Linked DNA regions of Drosophila melanogaster. The protein of the gene in region 4 interacts with the protein of the main gene of each other region in a pairwise test. Each region holds a gene or a part of one and is shown on either strand. Other genes may lie near its edges. The genes, in order: Sirt4, teq, Dora and CG31626.

Evidence for each region.
Region 1: the proteins of CG31626 (region 4) and Sirt4 interact in a two-hybrid assay, tested with the Drosophila melanogaster proteins (one large-scale study listed by BioGRID).
Region 2: the proteins of CG31626 (region 4) and teq interact in a two-hybrid assay, tested with the Drosophila melanogaster proteins (one large-scale study listed by BioGRID).
Region 3: the proteins of CG31626 (region 4) and Dora interact in a two-hybrid assay, tested with the Drosophila melanogaster proteins (one large-scale study listed by BioGRID).

The regions. Positions count from the first base shown.
Region 1 is NC_004354.4:5,663,626-5,668,132, forward strand, and holds Sirt4 (sirtuin 4), read right to left. Parts: upstream 2,316-4,507; 5' UTR 2,244-2,315; coding exon 2,063-2,243; intron 2,003-2,062; exon of another isoform or gene 1,862-2,002; coding exon 1,104-1,861; 3' UTR 1,003-1,103; downstream 1-1,002. Other genes in the region: CG4119 (uncharacterized protein), read left to right, coding at 2,781-2,843, 2,932-3,173, 3,585-4,507. UniProt on the Drosophila melanogaster protein: NAD-dependent protein deacylase. Catalyzes the NAD-dependent hydrolysis of acyl groups from lysine residues.
Region 2 is NT_037436.4:9,072,668-9,078,349, reverse strand, and holds the start of teq (tequila), read right to left. Parts: upstream 3,708-5,682; 5' UTR 3,572-3,707; coding exon 3,521-3,571; intron 3,287-3,520; coding exon 2,728-3,286; intron 2,679-2,727; coding exon of another isoform or gene 2,484-2,678; intron 2,331-2,483; coding exon of another isoform or gene 2,085-2,330; intron 2,032-2,084; coding exon of another isoform or gene 1,555-2,031; intron 1,493-1,554; coding exon of another isoform or gene 1,329-1,492; exon of another isoform or gene 894-1,328; intron 1-893. Other genes in the region: CG4942 (uncharacterized protein), read right to left, coding at 4,031-4,621, 4,679-5,143.
Region 3 is NC_004354.4:18,861,792-18,867,540, forward strand, and holds the start of Dora (dorado), read left to right. Parts: upstream 1-2,158; 5' UTR 2,159-3,648; coding exon 3,649-3,928; intron 3,929-5,749. Other genes in the region: CG7326 (uncharacterized protein), read right to left, coding at 443-1,891. UniProt on the Drosophila melanogaster protein: Substrate recognition component of a SCF-like E3 ubiquitin-protein ligase complex that promotes target-directed microRNA degradation (TDMD), a process that mediates degradation of microRNAs (miRNAs).
Region 4 is NT_033779.5:21,231,399-21,238,683, reverse strand, and holds CG31626 (uncharacterized protein), read left to right. Parts: upstream 1-1,950; 5' UTR 1,951-2,040; intron 2,041-4,648; exon of another isoform or gene 4,649-4,781; 5' UTR 4,782-5,046; coding exon 5,047-5,049; exon of another isoform or gene 5,050-5,184; coding exon 5,185-6,039; 3' UTR 6,040-6,189; downstream 6,190-7,285.

The DNA.
Region 1 (4,507 bases), on a different chromosome or scaffold from region 4:
ATTATTATGGATAAAAATCAGACTGTTTTTGGGCAGAAAATCAGTATACGATTTTTGGCAAGCCTTCATTATTTGCAAAATGGTTTTTCCTTATAACACCGCTTAAATGGTCATATTGCTAAAAGAATTACTGTTTTGTGTTGCTTATTACCAATGCTAAACATCCATATCACTTTTTGGAAGATTTACAAAATTTTAATTTTTTCAAGATTTTTCATTTTTAGTAAGGGGTAACATCATCAAAATTTGCAAAAATTGGCAAAATTTTAAAATGCCTAAATTTGATTTTCCATCACTTGGGGGTCAAATTACGAGATCAACGAGGTATGACATTCCATTTTTGGACCAAGAATTTCAATGATATGGTTAAGAATCTGACCATTTTGGACATAAAATCAGTAGACGAGTATGTATGATAGAAATTGTCATATATAAAGGATATAATGCTGCTTAAATATGCTAACCATGACCACTACTTAATATAATTATATTATTATTATTATTATTCTTAGCAGTCCTTCGATTTTGCCCATTGTGCGAGGTCTACGCATTGTTTTTCTAGCAGGAATGGACGATTGTCGTAGGAGGGGGGGTAATGAACCGCGTGTGAAAAGTGTCACTGGCCGTGTATGTGTGTGTGCGATGTGTGTTTGTGTGTGCGAGCGGGAGATGCCGATGCCTCAATTGCGGTTCATTTATATGGAGCACTGAGAGCAGCGGCCTGGAGCAAAAACAAAAACATTCAACGGGAGCGAGCGGAAGTGCGCAGCTCTCCCCGGCGCTCCTGCTTCCGCTTCCTGTTGGGATGTGCTGGAATTTCAGAGCACAGGACACTGAGAGAGACAGAGAGGACATGGACTCGGAACCCATGTGCTTGGGGGATGAGCGAATCCTTTTCCCGGAAAGCGTGTCATTGTGTTTCGCTCCAGAGGAGCCTGCGCGAAAATGATCCAAAGGCACAGCCATAAATCAGGAGCTCCGTTGCAACGCTACATTCCATTTGCAAATAGTAATCATTAACATTTATTTTTTAGCTAAAATAGAAAGCCTGGCTTTCCATAACTACAAATTTAGTGGGGGTCAACATATAACAACTGTGAGTATTAACTGACGCTTTTCGAATTGCGAAAGTCGAACAGTTTGGGTATGACATCGCCGCACTTGGCGGATATCTTGATATCCGCCAGGTGATCGGCGCGCGTTTCGCCAATATTAACAATGCCCACCGGTAGCTTGAGGTCCTTGGTCTGCAGGACAACGCGGTAGCCGGAGAAGACCAGGAGACTGGACCCGAGGACAAGCAGGCCATCGCTATTGTACACCATGCCGGCAATCTGATCCACTCGTGGCCGAGGCACAGAATCTCCGAAGAAGACAATTTCCGGCTTCAAGTCGCCGCCGCACTGCGTACACTCGGGTATCCGGAAGTTCTCGATGTACTCCAGCGGTATCTCTACATCGCCATCGGGCCGGATCATGTCGGGGGCATCTTTGAAGGCCGGATTTAGCGACGCCAGTATGCTCTGGAACTCGTGACGATCGATCCGGTACTCGCATGACAGGCACTTGACCACATAGCCACTGCCATGAACCTCCACAACATTTCGGCTGCCCGCCTTCGTGTGCAGCCGGTCCACGTTCTGGGTGACCACCGCCTGGACCCGCTCCTCCCGCTCGAATCTGGCCAGCGCGTGATGCGTGGCATTGGGCTGTGTGGCAGAAAACTTGGGCCAGCCCACAAAGTTCCTGGCCCAGTACCGCTTGCGCACCGCCGACGACTTGACGAACTCCATGTGCTGGACGGGCTTGTGGTTGGAGCGGGCGTAGAGGCCCACGCCTTCGGAACGGTAATCGGGAATCCCTGGAATTTATTTCAAGTTTTTAGACAGCCAGAAATGTTGATTTAAATAAAATACTAATGCGAATCCAAGTATAAGCTAGAAGTCACTTGCATTAGCATTATATAAATAAATGAATAATGTACAAGCTTTTGGAAGTCAATCTGAAATATTTGTGTTAATGGCTTCTGAACATAGAAAAGTCGGAAAATCATGAAACTCACCCGATTCCGTCGAGATGCCAGCGCCCGTGAGAACCAAAACATTCGGTTTGGACAGGAGAAAGTCCTCCAGCCGTTTGATGTCGTCCTCCACGACGGGCTTGTGATGCGGCACGTACTCCTGCCTGGCGGTGGAGCTGCGCAAGCTGGTGCTCCGGAAGCGGAGCAGCTGGCCCACACGCATTGTTTTGTTATGTATTATTGCAAGTAATATTTGGTTCTTTTTCGGTTACGTTACTAGAGGTGAGCGCACGCACATCGATGGCAACTCCTTCAGTCGCTTACCGCTGTAAATCGATTGTATGCCCCGCAATGGCAATCGATAACTGTACGACCCCCATCGATTTTTACACGCCATCAGCCGATAGCAGCTTGCCAGCAGCTACCATCTCTAGAGCAACGGCTGCAGAAAAAAGATATTCTATTCGGTAATTTACGCGTGGATTTATCACGCGCCGTGAACCCAGAAGTTACAGGCCAACCTTTCCGAGATTCGATCAGTGAACCTTGCGGGCGTCCAGCTTCGTAAGCACGAAACAGGACATTCACACACATATTTATCACTCCGTGTGGCGTTTGCGCCCATCCGTGCGTGCCTGTGTGTGTGTGTGTCGCTCGTCTGTGCGTGCGTGAGTGTGTTTGTGAATTGTCGGCTTTAATTTTGCAAGCTCGCTAAAGTTGTGTTTTCAAAGGACATCGCAAAGGAGTCGCAGCGCACAAGATGTCGTACCCGCCGCGGGCGCCCATGCCGCCCTTCATGAATACAGCCATACCGCCGCCGCACGTAAGTCCACCTTTTCTGGGTCACAATCACCATGAAGCTGTCAGAATCTGACGCCAAATCCTTTTCCACCTACTCCATCCGCTTTCAGATAATGCAGAACATGGCCAAGCCGCCGAGGAGCTTCCGTAACTCGGCCACCATTAGTTCACAGCCGACAGTATACCAACGTCCGCCGGAGCCGCAACCACAGTTCCGCGGACCCATCATTACCGTCTTCGTGGGCAACATCAGCGAACGCGTCCCGGAGGCACTGCTCAAACGCATCCTGAACGCTTGCGGCGTGGTAATCAATTGGAAACGGGTGTCCACATTCGGCTTCTGCGAATTTGAGTACGTTCAACCATAAATCGGTCATCCCAAAATCACTTTAGAAGGCTTAGGGCAGCACAAGAAGGTTTCGTTAGTTAAATAACGCTAGAAAAGTAATTGAAGAGCCATTGCATAAACAGCAGCATAACGCATCTCACTCGTTGTTTGATGCGTTTCCTAGAATAGCTTAGCTTATTTATAAAAAGATTGAAATACTTCTAGGAATGCTCCCTACTGCGACAGCTCTTCAAATTCTATATGCGCGATCGAATAACTACTCGAGCACTTTTAAGTAACCTAACTTTAAGCAATACAACACAGGGTTGAGCTTGCATACATTTATGTTTAGAGCCAACGGGCAGTCCACCCATTTGGCTCTCCAATTGTTCCTATAAATACTCTGCCTAACCGCTTTCCTTGGCATTCTTTCAGCGGACCTATTGCGGCAATGCGAGCCGTTCGCCTGCTCAGCGAGATGGAAATCGATGGCAAGAAGCTGGTAGCCAAGGTAGATGCCAAGAACAAGGTTCTCATCGAGGATTACAAGGAGCAGGAGTGCAAGAACGGCGATCGTTCCAACCCAGTGGACGAAAAGACCGAGGACGAGTTCGCCATTGCCCAGATGCACGAATTCCTGGAAGAGCACAAGCACGAGTTCGAAGGATTCGATAGCAGCAGTCGCGCCGATTTGTACGGCAGCGCCAATCGCAATAAGAAGACACGCCGCGAGGAAGACATAAAGATGAAGGTGCTAAGCGAAAATACCCTGGAGGAAGAAAAGCGCAACTTGATTAGCAGCGAGATAGGCAAATTCCGTATGCGTGCGGAGGAAGACGAGCACCGCAAAGAGCTGGAGAAGGAGAAGGAAAAGGAGAAGCTTGCGGCCAGCAAGGAGAAGGAGCGCAAAAAGCAGCGCGAAATGGAGCGAATGTCGTCGACCAGCAAGTCTGGCAGCTCATCGACAGCGGCCGCCAGTTCCTCCAGCGCTACAGCCACCTCTTCGACACCCGCCGCCGATGGGGCTGACATGTCGGATAAGACAGACAAGGAATCAGTCGCTGTTGTGATCAAGGAAACAGTTAAGGAGTCAAAGGAATCTGCCTCCTCCACCGGACGCAAGGAGTCGTCGTCGGCTGCCATCGAGATAACACAGAAGGAGCGCCGCTCTGACTCAAAGGAGACACGTCGCCGCCGCTCCAAATCCCGCTCCAAGGATCGCGAACGGGAACGTGAGCGTGAGCTGCGCGAGCTTCGCGACAAGGAGCGCGAACGTGAAAGGGATCGGGAGCGTGAGCGCGAGCGGGAACGCAACGAAATGCGCGAACGGGAGCGCAACGAGATGCGCGAACGGGAAC
Region 2 (5,682 bases), on a different chromosome or scaffold from region 4:
TCAGTTTTACTTATTTCATTTGTCTCTATAGACATTTATGTTTGGAATTATCTATTTATAAAATCTTTCAATGTTCGCAAGAGTAAAAAAAAATTGTATTTTACATTGTTGCCTGCCTGATTCTAGCTATGGCTTCACGGGCCATATTGGGTTAACAGGGCATAATAGTATATGCTCCGTTTTACAATATTTCTTACAATTTTTCTTATCTATATATATTTTATATTTACTTTATATTTATATATATTTATTATTATATTCTGCTGTTGATGATGCTCATCAGGTGTCAGCTGGGCGTCGCCGGGGGTGGCACGCTGACACTCCCTCGCTGCTGTCTATTTCTTCGCCGCTGAAGACGTCGATGGTCGCTCACAAGTCCCCAGGCAGTGGGGACTCCAGATTCCTTCGCAGCCAGGGGGGCAGGACTTCTTTGGTTTTGTTAATGCTGGTGCTGGTGCTGGACATGCCTGGTATTTTGGAACTTCATTAATTGTGGGTATATTTTTAATATTATCTGAGTGAGTTTTCTCGAGCTTATGGGTCTTTAATTCTTGCTGATATTGCAACAAGTGGTCTAGCTCTGCATGTAGCTTTAGAGCTTTCGACCAAACCGGTGGCGTTTGCTGACCGTATATTAGCCACCTTACGTGGGCTATACGTTTATTCAGCTTAGTTTTCAAACCGCCACGGTGTTTGCCCATACTCAATAGAACTCTACTCACTCAGATTTTTCCTTGGTTTTTGCAGTTCCATTTAATTAGTCCAGTCTTCTTCCAGTCCAGTGTTCCTTTGTTCCTTTGTTTTCACCAGCTTTGGTCAATTCGTCCAGCGTTGGACGACTGTCACGGTCGCCATGTAATGATGAACTCCAATTAAGAACACAAGTCCGTTTTAAGTTGAAGGCAGCCGTCGGGCTGACATATATTTATTCAATTTCTTCTTTTGATTTTAGAGTAGGCAGAAATGGTTCTGTCAGCTCAACGTCTACAGAGTCTCTCCGATTTTACAGTTTTTTATATATTTGGACTTAGGCTAATCCGCGTAGCTGCGCTGCCGGGTACGCCAGCAGCGGAGCGGCGTTCTTATGTATATCTTATATATCTAGGCTTATCGGGAGAGCGAGATATGTATGTACGTATGTAATATGTATTTGGTCGGCGTGTGAATGCTGACCATGCACTTATACTTTTTGCCTTCGAGTGGGCAATGCACTTATACTTTGTGGCCTTCGAGTGGGTGATCATGTTACATCCGCCCTGGCCTAACTGCGTGCATAAACATAAACATAAACATAGCAACAAAGTGCTGCCATAAGTTAATATGCTATTTTATTTAATTGTTCTTAATATTGCATAGGCACATACTACACAACTCTCAATGAAGGTCTGCTGATTCCAGCACCTGACATACTTGGTGCAATCGAAGGGATGCAGATAGAGTCCCTGTGCTTGTGGAGGACAAGAAAGCGTCGAACGATCCACCATAAACTCAGCTGTAAACGAAAAAGTGGTCTGAAATCAAGTCCAAGTCATCAAGATTCCTTGAGATGCTTACTGGAAAGTTCAGCACTGATATAGGAGTAATCCAAGTAATCATGTGCAGAGAGAAGGCTACGAGGCACACATTGACGCTGGGAGAGGCTGTAAAGCTGTCCAGTGGGACAGCATATGATCTCTAATGCTCCATATTGGCACCTGACATAGTGGCCAGCATGGAATGGATAAGGGTAATTCTTCTGGACATTGGGTGGACACGATCTAAGTGAAGACAGCTGGCTTTGAACATTTCCCCGTAAGTCTTGAGAAGTATAAGTGGTCTGAACTTGGACTTCCTGCCAGAACTGCACCCGATCAGATATGTGCACTTGATGACTTGGAAGACAACTTCTTTGGGATACACTGAATGCCATCTGGGGGCCACAACTTAGGATGGACATTCTGCCACCAGACGAGCACTGAACGTACTTTTTAGCATCGTAGGGATACAAGAAGATGCCGTTGATGTTACCAGGACAGGCATTAAGGATAAGTGCTAGTAAAATATTATCATAAATTCTAGTGTACAGTGATGATAAAGTAACTTACAATACTCATAGCTGATTTCGGAGATAATTAATGTGACATAGTCGGTAAAGGCTAATTGTGCTTTTAACTGACAGTAGCGCCTCGATATGCTAAACACATAATTAGGTTGGCAGTTTTGCACAGCCGATTTACCATCCTTACAACTAAGGAATTTTGTTTGATCAAAGGGATGAACAAATTGGCCAACGGCTCCCACTGGACACAAGAGATAGTTGACCTGAATCTCAGCCGACGTGAAGGAGGAAGCTGTTACAATTCAAAGGGATCAGGATTAGAGTCTATCAACTAAGCAGGCAAGCAAAGCGTGTACAGCGTAATATGAGAAAATAACCCGAAATGAAAAAGCAGATGAATCAAGCGAGGCCAAGCAGTAGGGATAAGAAATGAAATGACACTTACAGGAGGTCCGAGGGGAGTCAGAATACACACATACCGAAGAGGAGCCATCGAAGATGTGGCCCCGTGGACACTGTTCCACCTGAGGCTTAACCCCAATTCCGCACCTCAAATACTTGTGCACGTCGTGCGGATGTGGACGAAGCCCACGTGTACCGGGTGGACAGCCCAAGTCATCAAAAGGCAACGCAGGGTAGCCTAACCGAGTGTTAGTCAAGATTTTTGTATTTAAATCACTCATACGTACCGGTGCCGGAGGTATCATCTCGTACTGCTCCAGTTCCCGATCCGCATTTGGCCAAATCCTTGTGCACACATACCAGTGATGCTGGACTAAAAGCAGTTCCTGGTGCGCAGTCCATAATAAAAGCTTGACCATTGGCGCAGTTAAGAAACTTGCTGCAATCCGAAGGATGCGGTTGCAATCCATTCACTCCCGGTTGACACTTGGGTTCACTATCTAATTGCCTAAGTCTTCCCAGTCGAGTAGATGCAGATTCCGCTGAAGGGCAAACCACATTGCTGGGATGATCGCACACCTGGGTCCTGTCATTGAACAGAGTTCCGGGCGAACACGTCTGAATGGTGGGGCTGCCATCGAAGCAGTTCACATAGCGATGACAGTCGTGGGGATATGCAACCAGACCCGTAAAATGCGGCGGGCATGCCGAATCCCGATGGTAAATAGGCTGCTGCTGGTCGCCTCCGTAACTCGAGTGTGCGTTCCCTGTTGCTGATAAGCCAACTGGTTCCGACTGCTCGCTGTGGTAGCCACTGCCTGATCGATAAGCTTTAGCCCCGGGTCGCTGTCAAAAGCGCAATTATGAAATATTATTGAACAACCGTAAGTAATTAGAGGCAAAATTTAGCTAATAGCTTGTAATTAAGTTCAATTAAAATTAAAGTCTTAAGCGCGTTTTAAATTCCTAAACAACATTTTTAGTTTGACTAAAATCTTAAAAAATTGTAAATAATCTAGAATCTAGATGATATCCTTAAAAAACACAATTTGAAATTATTAATAAACTTTCTACACTAACATCCACTAGCAGGATCGCCAGCCAAAGGCCAAGGAGCCACTTGGCCATCATTTTACGTTTCCGCTTTATAAGTATTTGAATTTAAATATTTCTTAAAATGCACCGATGCTGATAGCAACTACACAATTGTTTTTCTCGCGCTTTAAATTCTTCGTTGTGATCCCGTTCGAATTCCAGGCTCGACTGACCCACACCCAGATCGCATTTCAATTCAATTGGACTCGGGATGAATCTCTATCTCTGCCGCCGCTGATAGATGCTCTCGTTTGTCGCCAAACCAATTGAGTGGACCACACTATCAGGGCTTGTAATCTCAAGACCTTTTTGCTGTCTTATCGCCTTGTTTTGTTTGCATTTCTTTTGGGGTTTTTCACTCATTTATTTACTTCTATGAATCTGAGATGTTGGAGCTTAAGAATGATGATGATGAATTACAGTGGCGCAGTCGCATTTAAACAAACTAAACGTCATACCCAAATTAGACTAGGTGATTATGACTAAGAGACTAGATCATTTGGCTGCCGGCTTATCAGCCGGCGCCCTCTCGGCAAGTCTTAGCCTCTGCTGTATTTTTAGCCAGAGCAGATCGTACGGCTCACTGAGTTCCGTTTGTGTTTTGGGAATTCCCACAGATCGTCGCACTTCCGGCGAGAGGATGAGCAGATTTTGAGCAAGGCCAAAACTGCTGGAAGCTACCCAGTATACACATAAAGCTGAAGGCACTGTACAGGCTACTGGAACCATCACAACACTCAATCCACGGAACACATTGTTGGCGATGTTCTGCAAGCGTGTAGAAGGACGAGTTCTAGACATGGCTTGCACTTCAATGATGGCCAAATTGATAAGACCTAATGCTACAGGCAGGATATAAGAGTTATCCACCACCGTAAGGTTTGGTATCCAACCAAATCCGCCAATGGTCATTTCGGTGGTCACGATTTGAGCTTGAATGGACGTGGGATCCGGCAGCATGTACACTAAATTGCGCAGAGCCACGGATTGAAAGATCCACAGGGGAATCTGACCCCATAGCACAATCATGGTCTTCATGGGATGGCAGTTATCCCGAACTATAAGGTTCTGCCACTGCTTCTTGATCTGTAAGATAATTGACATGACGAAGAGTGTCTCGCAAACATTTGAATTTTAACAAACCGAACGCCGATAAACAATCTGAGTCTGCTTTTCGCTCCACTTGAACTTGTGCTTGGCCATGGCTGCCTCTTTTTTCAGTTCCTCCACAATGGCCGGCATCTCCAGCGCTATCTTTTCAATTCTGGCGGTGATTTTGTGCTGGTAAATGGTCAGAGGCAGGGTGACCACGCTCCGAAAAAGGAAAGTGGACAGCACGATGGACGCCCACCAGGGCAGGCCACTGTAGTCGTGGATCTTAATGAGAACATCCTGCATATAGGCCACCGGCGTGCTGTTGGACAAGGTCTGCCAATATCCCACCAATCCACCGGCATTTGCCAGTTGGACACTCGCGGCCGCCGCTTCTGTAGACGACAGACGATGATTGCATGTGTGATTCGCAATAGTTGTTCCTTGGTATGTGTATTTGTAGATGCCAGCAATTGATGAACTTCTACAGGTGCGTAAAAGAAGCAAAGCTGACATTTTTAATTAATATAAAACTAATAATCAACGTAAACAACTATATAGAATCAGCAGTGCGAGTTGTTATCATTGTGAACAGCTGATTGTTACCATAACACGGCTTCAATCAGTGTGGCCGTAGCTAGGCATTGTAGTTGCATTAACCCTTAACTTACGATGCTTTTTTTGCTATCCGAAATTAGGAAACATTGAAATGCAGTTATTAATTTGAAATCATTTAATCGTTGATAAGAGAACAATAACAAAATTTATACAGTCATTTTATACGACAGCAACACTTTTATTTCCTTTGCATTTTTACTCACTTTGAAATTTCTAAATTAATAATTATCTCGGCTTACTTAAAATGGCTAGACCTAATTTAAGTGCATAAATTGTTTTTTAATTGACGTTTAATTTCATACGTATATGCTTAAGATAAAATTGTGCTTGTATTCATATTTGTTTTCTTGGTCTTGGCATATTTGCGACCTCGTGCGACGGTCACTCTAATTTGGCATTTTAAATTGTGCAGCGTACTCGGCTGCACTTGCAACTTT
Region 3 (5,749 bases), on a different chromosome or scaffold from region 4:
ATTGGCACTTACAGTCACGGAACGCACTGCATTTGTGCTAGTACATACATATATATAGAAGTCGTTTATCCAGCTAATACTTGTTGCAAAACGTTTGTTAAACTATATATAATATACATATATATATATAACGATCGAGTCAAGCAATAAAATCAAAATTTTCTTCACAAAACAATAAATAGTCTTTGGCGTTATCAATTCCGCGTACTGTTAATTCATTCTAAGCGAATGTATAACGATAAACAAAAGCAAAGGATGTGAGGATTTGAATCAAAGGCATAGTAAAGTATTTTGGATGGAATTGATTATCAATCAAGGGCTAACTTTAAAAAAAAAATATCTTTGACAAATTATTGGGCCAAGTCCGTCTTTGTATAGTGAAAACAAGTAACATAGTTTCCGACATACAAGCTATGCTTGATTTTTGAATCGGATTGGGTCACTACTTGTCCTCCGGCGAGGCGGAGGTGGCCATTTTGGCGAAAGACCGCGGCGGAGTGGGGCTGCGTTTCTGCAGGGTACGCATGCCGAGCGAGTAAGCCGCCGTGTCCCCCGAAGCGGTGTCCGTATCCGAGTACTCGTCATCGCTCTCGCTGGCATGTCCTGCATCCGTCTCGTACGGATCCACCTCCTTCTGATACACGTTGCTCATTTGATCCGTAAACACATCCGAAGCGACGACCCCGCCGTCGTGTTGATCCTCGTTCTCATAAAAGAAGTACGACAACTGCAGGTGCTCCTCCGCACAGTTCGTGCTCAAGGCGTCCGGAATCAAGTGGCCATTCGTCTCGAGGCGCTTCTGAATCTTTAGGAACATGTTCGGTGATACATCCATTTGGGGCAGCGTCTGCTGCGCCTGCCACTTCTCCAGCAGCGGCGGATTGGCTCCAAAAACGCCGTAGTACAGCTTGCAGGCGCGAAAGCAGCGTAGTCGGTTCGAATTTGGGCGAATGCGACGCAGCACACGCAGCTGTGACTCCACCACGTGCAAAAACATGTATTGCTGATTTCGGTTGGGCAGCGAGGTGACCAGCACCGCACGACTGGTGTTCAAACAGAGCTGAGGCAACGGTTGAGGCCACAGCGAGTGCAGCAGACGCTTGAAAAGCTGCGTTAGCGTGGAGTTTTGGAAGAAGTGGCGATCGGGGGCATTTGTCGCCGCTCCTGCGGGACGCCAACGTACTGCATCAGCCCAGATGCGAGCGGCGGCGCCATCGAACATGGTCAGCCCCAAATAACGCATGCAGCGCTGGCAGTACAAGTGATCGTCGCGATTGAGCATGCACGAACTTTCTTCGTTAAAGTTGATGACCACATAGTTGAGGCCATAGAAAAGATCCGTTTCGGCGGGCACTAAGCTAATTGGTTGGGTCTTGCCCGCTGGTCCATGATTGTGGCAAAAGAACTCAGTGGGATCCACCAAGAGGCTGGGAAACTCCCTCAACCTGCGATAGCTTCGGCCTGCCACCAATTCCGCTCGGCAATCACGACAGTTGATAGTGATGGGCTCGTTCTCCTGGCAGGAGAGGAGTAGTGGCGCCAGAGGCACGTCCACAGCGCTTCCATCCACGCTGGCCAGATCAATCTGGTTGTAGTTGAAGCGGAAACTGATGTTCCTGCCACTGACCAAGAACGTGGACAGGCAGACAATGTCCATACCATACTGCGCGTGCCGGATGAGCATCAGCTTGTCGGAGTCCTCGCTGTCGCTTTCGGAGCTGGAATCCAAGTCGATTGCCTGATTCTTAGGTTTCTCGCTGATATAAACATTGTAGTCGCGGACGACGACGCGAGTCTTCTGGCTCTGCGAAACCTGTTGGTCGAATCGCAGGAAGACCACGCCGCTGCGTAGGTTCGGGCGCAGTTCGATGCACAGCCCGGCGATGGGCATCTTGACCAGTTCCTGGGAAAGCGCGAGAAGATTGTGAACACCACCAACAAAATGGGCCTATCGTTACTTATGGTTTTTCGATATTAAGAGCGTCACTCGACAAAAACTATCGATTGTCAAGAATGAATGTCAGTGTGACCGTCATTTGAAAACTGGGAAATCGTACGCGGAAAACCGATACTATTGACCTTATCGAATATTCAGCCGAAAATGATCGAAAACCCATATCGAGTGTGTGAGCACTATCGCTGACCACTAACACCAACAACGTTTAGGAGCAAAAGAGTCGACGATGCGATGGGTAAAAACAAAGCCCCGTGTAAAAGTGTCCGAAAACCGTGCGTAGCATCAAACAAATCGTAACTCGGCCAGCGAATCTAGGTGCCGTTGTTTTCGGGGACGCGTGTGCAGTGCCGTTTTAAGTGTCGGTAATCGCCAAAATCCACAAAAAATTTAAGGATTTTTTAAAAAAACGTTCGCTAAACGCATTTCGTTCGTTCACTCACACACACACGTAAACCTAACACACGCACAGACGCAGACAAACACAACGCGCAGCGCATATACACACACAAAGAAAAGAAGGCAGTGAAAATCGACAAGCGCACGCATGCACACACACACTGACAAGCACGCAGGCGAAAAAGTGTTGATATATATCCAATATATTGATGTTGTGTGCAACGTTGTTGTTGCTGCTGCTACTGCTGTGTGAGTGAGTGAGGGCGAGCGAGAAAGAGTGAGTGCGGTGCGCGCAGGATAAAGCGAAGATGAGCCACAAAGCGAAGGAGTGAAAAAATAATTAACGGCAAAGCGGACTGCAAAGCGCAGAGCGGATAAAAGAGGAGCGTTAACAACAATAACAACGACTGGGGGTCCCCTGCAAAATCAACAACAACAGCAAGAACCACATCAACAATAATAACAGAAGCAAGAACATCAACAACAAGAACTACAACTACAAATTGGCCCTCTTATTTCGGCAGTCGCATAGCATAGCCCCATCTCGCTCTCTCGTTCGTTGGGGGATACGAAAAAGTTCACATGCAACAACAACGACAACAAACAATAGCAGTCGCAGTCGACGCGGGCAGAGGCAGCGACAGAGACCGCGGCGCACTGAACGTATTTTGTACATATAAACAAAAATAGTTTTTAAACTCCCCAAAATCTAAATCTAAACCTAAAGTTAAGTCTAAAAGGGAAACTTAGAGCCCTAAGCATAAATCTACAGTTAATAAGTTAATTAAAAGCAAGCGAGTCCGGCAGTGTGCTTGAGTTTGAAAGGGGAGAACCGAAGGAGAGGAACACAGCGAGAGAGAAAAGAGGAAGAGAAGAACGCTCAAGAGAAATTCGCCTTTTACACGATTTTAAATTGAGCGTTTGGCAGAGATCCATTATACATATACATCCATCCAAAAAGAGAGGAGAGTAACAGTGAGAGAGACGGAGGAAGAGGAAGCTGAGGAAAACAAACAAACGGGGGAGCAGCTGAAGAAGAAGAACAAGAATCAGCTTCAGCAGTAGAAGGAGCAACTGTAAACACACACAATCTCAGCCTCACGCTGGCGAATCGCAACGGCGGCAACAACAACAGAGGAGGAGGAGGCGGCGGTAACAACAACAACAATGGAGGAGGCGGAGGAGCGGCTGCAGTCGGCGCTGGCGCCGAAGGAGCAGCAGGAGGCGGCGCAGGAGCCGGAGCGGCGGGCAGAGACGCTGCAGGAGCAGCGGCCAACGAATGGAATCCGGAGGAAATGGACCGCTTCAGCTTCGACGACTCCATCCGCTTCGAGGAAGACTCCCTCTGCAGCTGGAGCTCTGAACCGGAATCGCTGTGCAACAACTGGCGCGGCTGGAAGAAGCCCGCTGCAGGCAGCGGCGCAGGCAATGGCGGCTTGAGCGGCATGGGCGGTATGGCTGTGGCCGGCGGCTCAGGAGCACCGCCGTTCGGAGGAGCAGGAGCCTCTGGTTCCTGCACACCGGGCGGCAATGGAACGGCCATGGCCAACACATCCACCTGCGGCAGACATTATGGTGAGTAGCATCTCCTTGTTGCTAGGGCGGGATTTAGGGCAGTGTACCCGGACCATTGAGCATTACACCAGTGAAACTACAGTTGTGAAAATCACAGATACAAATCTAAACTGAAGAGAGCTTCTTAAAATCCGAAAAACATTGTACAACATTGACAGTTTTTAGAGTTCGAAAAGTGTGCGTCCTAAAGATATCAAAAAAGTATCCTCTTTTATTCAGGAATTAAGAAAGACTTTCTCATAAGAAGCTTTCATATGTCGCATACAAAAGATATTGACTTCCTTAATTGTTTTTAAAACCATAAGGCAACCAAAATAGTTTATACCTATAACTTTCCCTTTACAATGAGAAACTTACATGTACATTTTATACAGATTTATATCCGTATAGCGTTAAATAATCAATTACTTGCTACACAATTTACTTTTTAAGCTAAGTAGAGTGATATGCTTTAGTTCTATGTTTTACTAGCTTGGTCGCATTTGGCTATTTGCAATATGGCTACACTGTGCTGCCTGTAATTATACGCATGACCTTTTCGCTTTTGGTAAATTCTGTAAAATTGACTTAGGCACAACAACGAGCAGGCTGTAATTGTTGTTGCCCTCTGTCTGCAATTGTCTTCTTCGTTTCCCCGCATTTCCTCGAAGTCCTCTGCTTATCGCTGAAGTCAAAATCACGACTTTGGCTGCCAACGTTTTTTATTTTCATTCGTTTATACGAGTTTCCTTTTTACCTTTTTGTTGCGTCCCTTTGTCTTTCCCTGTGGCTCATTACGCTTGTGCATGTGGCTGGGGTATTGTTTTTTTTTTTTGTTTCGGGCCTGCCAAGAGACGTTCCTTACACGTTTTCTGTATCCTGTGCGCCGCCGCACAGCACTATCATCATGTAATATCTGGATATCTGGCTGCGACTGCGCAGTTCGTCCTCGTCGCTGTTTCTCTTTCGTATCCTCCATTCGTCTTCGTCATTTGCCCATCCACTGCATTCGTTTGCTTATTTTCCTTTGTTTGACTGAGCAGTGTTGCTGTGGGGGGAAACAGGACTATATTTGGAAGGGTCAAAGGACTAAACAGAGCGGCAAAGCCGCCAAAGAACCTCCAACCATTCAGTTGTCTTCTTTGTGGATTCTTTGATAGCCAGGGTTACCAGCTTGTTGATTTTATTGATATTTATTGATACTAAGCACTAGTATTACAAAATATAGTATATGTACTAGGCAAAACTAGCTGAACTTTGCTCAATCTTAATCATTTTTATCTTTCTGTTATGTTATACAAATCTTTTACTTCCTATAAACAGAGGAGTTAGCCAAATATCTATTTGTTCATATGCTGTTGGTTTGTAAACCTAAAGGACCAATAGATAGTAGCTTAAGCTATTCGATTTTGGCGGGAAAATAGCCAAAGAGCTAGCCCTGCGACTGGGTTTGTGTGTGTGTAGTGGCGAAGCCAGCTGCATTTTCATGCTCGAAAGACATAATAACCGCATCAAAAAACTATATTGCCTCAAAACGATGTCGCTGCTGCCAGCTGAACACGCTGACGTCGACTTCGACGTCGATGCTGAGGCGACGAGAGCCTCGCTTTGTTGTGTCAAAGAACCTTTTCAAGGATACCACCACAACCTGCCCAAGGGGATGTAATAAAAATAAAGACGAGGACGACGACGACGACGACACGGAGGAGAGTCCATTATTCCCATCGCACCTTGTAGCTCCTCCGCCCCGTTTGCTGTGGCTCCCCAGATATGGTAGTTCTTCAGATAGTTGAAACGGAAGAAGCCCATTGATTTGATCCACAATTGTCAACGGCTTCTGAT
Region 4 (7,285 bases):
TCATGGACATCAATTATGGGAACATTTTGTTTTTAAGGAAATGAGATCATCTTACCATTTTAAAATACCTAAAAAATTATGGGAACATTTTGTTTTTAAGGAAAGGAGATTATCTTACCATTTAAAAATAACTAAAAGTATTCCAATTGTCCCTTTCTCAGTCTATCAAGATTTTAATGTATTTCCGTTGCTGTGTTGATAAGATTTGTTACCCAAAAGCCAGTTGGGATTTCACGTTTTACTCGTTTTGTTCGACTCACATTCTAGTCACATTTTCATAGAGAATTCGTTTAATTTGCGTGCACATTATGCGTATAACATTTCTTGTGCAATATGTACCCGACTGGAAGCCACTTGATGCCAATCGAGGAAATTATTGCACGACAAATATCGGATTTTTCACCTGTGAATTAATAACGGTAAATTACTCATCCAGCGTCGCGGCGGGCGCACTTGTATGGGTTAACGAGCGAGCAAGCAAGTCAACGAATTCACAATAAAATAAACAAAATGCAGACGCGAAAAATCGACGAAACTTGTTGGAGCTGAAAACGCGGAAACTGTTGCAAGCGAATCGAAACCAGAAAAACTTTTCTGCACACTCTGTCCAATCAGAACAAACACTCGAACTCTTCTCTCCCACACACACTACACCAGCACTCACACGCACAAGTTCTGCTCTTGCACTTGCCTCTTTCTACTGCTTTCTTTGAGTCTTGGGTTTTATTTTACACGACTGCGGCGCTCTTGTTGCGTTTTCCTCACCTTTCGCAGAGTTTATTGACATTTTCAGCGTTCGCTTTGTGCGCTGCTTTCTTCGTGCGCAATCTCTTTTTTCTCTCGCCAGTCTGTTCGCTCTTTCTCTCTTTCCCTTTCTTCTCTCCGCTCACAACACTTGCTTTTTTGTTTACAATGGAACGCTCGCACACACACACTGGTAAACGGGTCACTCACACGCACACAGAATAACCTTCAATTTTATCTTATTGCGCGCGCCCCAGTCACTCGTTATTCTTAAACTTTGCCGAAATTAGGATTTGCTTTGGTTCGCTGCTGCAGCTTTAAATATCAATCAATGTCTTTGCAATGCTGGTGTGGTTAGAAATCCACATTCACCTCGACGCCTCTTCCACACACCCATACACGCAGCCACGGACGACCTTTGCGGTGCGAGCGAGACGACCCGCCACAAAAAACTCCACTTCCGCTCTCTCGTTCACCCGTTGTGCTGACGGCGAAAAGGTTTTCGAATTAAGTACATACATATATTCTTATTCACTTATTCACGGATTTAACTACATATGCCACTGTAGGCGCTACCACTCTTTTTCGCTCACAGCATGAACGGTGTTTTGCGCTCGAATCCGATTCCACAACCGCTCTAGCGATCACACGACGCAACACAGTCCCGCCTGCGACGAAGTAGCAAAATGTTTGTTTTGTTAGTGGAGCTCTCGGTCTGTTAGCGAGCGTTGCCACCTTTCTGCGAGCTGTTGCTGCACACTGCCACTTTACGAACACAGATCTGATAGCGGGACAAAATACGTCAAGGCAGCGACGGTGGGTTACTAGTGAATTTGGAACGGTGGTCTTACGACGTAATGGTCTTTTATATTTTCATTATTTTTTAAATTGTCGCTCATTTACCAATAAACCTTTTTACTTTTTCCTGATAGTCCGAAGTCAGATCAAATAGGAAGTTTCACAAAAAATTTTCATCCAGAGAAAATACGCCGACGCTATTCGAGTTTTTTGTATTCGTTAACCGGGAAAGAATAGTTCGAATTCGTTCGCACTTTATCGATAGTAGATTGCTATTATGGAGCCCACTTGTAAAATAATTTAATTCCAGACTGATAAAAGCGATCAACTTTTGTTAGTGGTTTAAGTCTATGATAATACTTAGTTCAAATTGTTTCAAAGTAGTCGATAATTTATAATAACAGTTTTAGATGACCTCTAGGAAATAACTAATTACCCACATTCTTCAAGAAGTGTTTTCAATTTGTTCTATAATTAAATAACAGTTGTATTAATTATGTAAATATTGTTACTCATAATACAAATTAAACAATATAAACACACATAAATAAGAGAATTGGAATATTTTGTCTCAGATTAGATTTTCCACACGGGAAATTTAAATCACCACGTTTGGTAATATCGTATCGTTTTATCCTAAACGAAACACGCTTATTAATACATAAGCTAATTGTTTTTATACCCGTTACTCGTAGAGTAATAGGGTTTACTAGATTCGTTGAAAAGTATGTAATAGGCAGAAGGAAGCGTTTCCGGCCATATTAAGTATATATTCTTGATCAGGATAAATAGCGGAGTCGAACTGGTCATGTCCGTCTGTCCATATGAACGTCGAGATATCAGGAACTATAAAAGCTAGAAAGGTTGAGCATCGACTCGGCTTAATAAGAATATATTTTATATCTGTTAGACATTTTATCGGATGAATTGTAACAGGTATAATAAACGATTTCTTATATATCGTCAGACATGTGTGTATATTTTGAACGAAACAACTTAAATTAGTTTGTAATGTTATTTTATAAATTCCATCCTAATAAATATTACTGGATTTGCAATGAGTTCCTTAGAACATATTAGTACTCGTGTTTCACTAACCATGTCCATCAAGCTGACACTGCTATGAATGGGTATGTGTGATGGGTATCTGGTGGACAAGCTCTGATCTAAATGGTGTTGTCCATCCCAATAGCACTGACTTGTCTGTAGTCTAAACTGTGAAACACTCCTTTATTACTGAATTCTAGATAAATGTACATACATATGTATACTACGGAGTGGTTGCGAAATCAGAGGCAATCAGATATTGAAGCAAGTTCAAGTGACATACAATGGAATTGGTCGTGTATAGCCGCCTATAAAGACATTAATAGACGACCCCAAAGCTCTCATTTAAGCTTAGCTTTAGTTTTCGGTAGATACAACTTATTAGTGTCAGAGATATTGAGCTTTGGTCGGCCACTGCATTTACATTATTTATTGCGTAATATTTAAATTGATAAATTGCGCATATATGCTAATGCTAAGTCTTCAATCCATATGTTATATTGTATTTTCACGCATTTTTAGATGAAGAAAACATTCTTGACTCGGATCGACTACGATCCACATTGGCATATGTTTGCCGTGCATAATATGGGTATTCTCCATTTAAATGTCTTTGGATGTGGTTAGCTAATTGGTTAATTAAGTGAGACCGCGGGCAGAAAATATCGACGAAAATACATTTTTGTGCAAGACAAGCCAAGCCACGTTTCTCATTTCGAATCGTGGTTGCTGTGTGAATTTTTTAAAATTGGAATTATTAAAACGGATTACGCCTGTTTTATTTACCATTTGCGGCTCCTTCTTTTTCTGTAACAAAAAAATATGACACTGGTGGTTTAAAGTAGGCTAAGCAAATTCGCGATGCCTCATGAATAGGTTTCGCTTAAGTGACAGATGCTTTCAAATGCAGCATTTTTGCATTGGAAATTAAACCATATGCGAGTCTGCGATTAGTAATATATCAATAAGCAGAGCGCCGGGTGAGGGTCGATCGCAAGCGAAAAATGTTTCAAAATGTTTAAATATTTTTGGAACGTTGTCTTTGTGTACGTATTTCTAAAAGTTAGTTACGTTTAAGTATATGGGTACTTTTCTGAGCCCAGTTATCAATCAAAATGTAGGAATCATATTTTCGTAACTATAGGGGACAATAGCTATTAAACGCTTTAGAGGCTGTTTACAAAACAGTGAGGTGTCACAGTCCCGAAAAATGTTGTCTCACGATTGGGCAAAAATGCCCTTATAATGCCCAATCAGATTCAGCTTCAGCTTGGGTGGTTTCCACTCGACCCATAAGTGGGGTAAGTCCCATTTAATATTCAAAATAATAACCCCACATATGTGTGTATATACGTATATAGGTGTGTGTCCGTATTTACAAGTTTTCTGAGGCTAACGCCAAGCTGGTAATCCTTGAGCGCTTGGTCGAGCATGTAGTTTGGTCATTAGCACCGGCTAATAGTTAAACAAACTGATTTCCGCTAACTGCACCGGCGAACGCATATCAGTTGACCTTTGACATTAGCCGGCAGAGGCCCTTTAATCGCTTCGTGGCCAGCTGCCTCGCATGCAAATGAGTGTTGGCGTGTCCCGTGGCCGCTCGTCGGCGGAGTCTCGCGGCCAAGCTGCCCTATTGACATTGCCAAACCCGTCCAAATCCCCCGATATCAACGAGCGGCTGCCGGCGAACTGTCACGGTCTTAACCCCGCGCTGGGCACTAAAAAATTGCATCGAAGACTGCCCGGGCAGTTGGTCTGCTCGGGTTGGGTTTCTTGTGATAATACATTTTACTGTATTAGCATGAACAGTTTTCCAATATATCGAAAACTCCCCTTGTTTTTCTATGCATCTGGGTGTGGTTTCTTTGTTAGAGCTGTCAGTTAATTATAAAAAGTGTGCTCCCATATGAATGCTTGGTCCAAATAATTTAAAAAAAAATAACAGATCTCAACTTTTGCTTTAAGAAACTAAAATACCCTAAGCAAATAACCTTTAAGTAGAATTTAATGTAGTTTAATTAATTAACGACTTAATCATGTATTAAACAAGGCGAATATTATAGTTTTTTTTTTTTTAATTCTCCCTAAACCATATTCAAAACTTGAAAATTAACGTTTCTTAATGTTAATACGTAAGATCAAAGGGAAAAATAAAATAAATATATCTTTGTTTCGTTTTGATCGCCCAACAGCCGCCTCTGGGTTAATGATCACTGCTCCGCTCTCTTCTTAACTGTCTACCTTTTCTTCGACTAGAAGAAGCGCCAGGCCCACACCGAAGACGCGAAGACGGATATCCAGCAATAATAATGGGCCAGACCAAGTTAAGCATGGCTTTTGGTATAAAAGTGCGGGCCCATCTGCAGTTCGACATCATTCAGCTTGAGCGTCTTGCGACAAGAGCTTGCCAAAGCAAATCCAACGAACTTTAAAAGCCCGACCAACAAATCAATAACAATGGTGAGTAAACTGTCCACTGGTCACAACTTCGATCAAGAAAGCCGTTGGCCTTGCTCAACCGCTCGCCTTGGCCAACCGTCAAGATGTCGGGGATCCCGATCGCTCACTTGACCCTTAAATTTCCGCTTATTTTAGAAACTCTTCGTCTTCGCTGTGTGCGCCATCGCCTTGGCCTCCGCCGATGTTTCCCACCTTAACCTGGGCAGTGGTTATAGCTACAACAAGCCCACGCCGACCTTCAACATCCCCTCGGCTCCAGCTCCAGCTTATCTGCCACCCGTTCAGGAGGTGATATCTGCGCCGGCTCCAGCTCCTGTGTACTCTGCTCCTGCGCCTGCTCCTGTTTACTCCGCTCCAGCCCCAGCCCCAGTCTACTCCGCTCCGGCACCAGCACCTGTTTCGGAGTACCTGCCTCCTGTTCAAGACATCCCAGCTCCAGCTCCTGTTTATTCTGCTCCTGCTCCAGCTCCAGTTTACTCTGCTCCTGCCCCAGCTCCAGTTTACTCTGCTCCTGCGCCAGCTCCTGAGTACTTGCCTCCCGTCCAGGACATTCCAGCTCCGGCTCCAGCTCCCGTTTACTCCGCTCCTGCACCTGCTCCTGTTTACTCCGCTCCAGCCCCAGCTCCAGTCTACTCTGCTCCCGCACCAGCACCCGTTTCGGAGTATCTGCCTCCTGTTCAAGACATCCCTGCTCCCGCCCCAGTGTATTCTGCTCCTGCGCCAGCTCCGGTATACTCTGCTCCTGCCCCAGCTCCAGTTTACTCTGCTCCTGCGCCAGCTCCCGAGTATTTACCTCCCGTCCAGGACCTTCCCGCTCCTGCGCCCGCTCCAGTTTACTCTGCTCCTGCTCCAGCTCCAGCTCCAGTTTACTCGGCTCCTGCTCCCGCTCCAGTTTACTCTGCTCCTGCTCCAGCTCCAGTTTACTCTGCCCCAGCTCCCGTGGAGTCGGGCTACCAGTACAATGTGCCTGCCAAGCGTTTCCGCTTCTAAATGGACATCAGGTGGATTCCAAAGAGTTCCGCAGCCATTTGAGTGGTGACAGCTTGTTAAATTAACAAGTGCCGTCGCCCATTGTTGTTGAATATTTGTTGTTACGCAAAGTTCCCGTTGAGATTTTAGCTAATAAAAAAATTACAAAACAAAAAATATAAGCTCGCTGCAAAATTGAAATGGACGAACGGGTCCAGTGTTCCGCGGTTTCGCTGTCCCTTTTAAAAACGAGTATTTAAATTTAGCACCATAAAGCCTTTAGAGACGCGATCTGCCGGCTTACGTAGCGTTTACCGAGCGGTTTCAACAACGGCAGGTTATACAAAGATGACCTGAGGTGTAGGCCATAACTGCGTTGGCAAATTTTCGCAAAGAGATGTCGTTAACGCTAGCCACTCAACGAATAAATTTAGCGAATATGAGAGAAATCTGAAAAATGTGGCACAGTTTCAGTTCTACTTAAATAAATGGCTTGGGAAGAATAGTCGTTTTAAGTGGTAGCCGTTTTAGTATAAAAGTCAATCTTTTTGAGTTAAAACCATTGTATGAAGACTAGAATATCATATTTAATACTTTGTAGTCATAATGATATTTTGAAATTCCAATTTCGCTTGTTCCCTTATGCAAAATTCAAATGTTTCCCCTTATTAAAATTGATATGAGGTCCAAATTGTCCCAAATTTTAACTTCCACACCTTCACCGCTCTCTCTCACCAGGATCACTTAATTCTACAAGGACTTTCACGCAGTCTAGCTTTGCTATTTTACATTTTTTGGGCATATCAAATGGGAAAGCGCCATTGTAACCAATGCTAACCTTTGTTGGGCGCTGTTAAAAATCTATCCTCTTTTAATTAATTTCATTATAAGGCAATAGAAAACATCGAATTTCAAATACTTTCCACTAATAATAAATAGTTTTATTGTGAACATTATGTTTTCGCCCTTTTTTGATTTAGTACCATCTTCTTAACGTTATAATGGATACGCAAGTCAATCTTTTTAAGTATGCACTGCATAACTGGTTTACTTACATAATTTTGTAATTAACTCAATCTATATATTTATTGACTATATATATTTATGATCATAAGTTTATCTTATATTCGTATAATTATAATGGTATGTATAATTAATAACTTACTTTTATTGCGTTAGGGCTCAAATCATATAGAGCTAAATTAAAATACTAAAAGTAGTTGATGCTTGATTTAGCTAAACTGTAACAGCACATAAAGGGAACTAA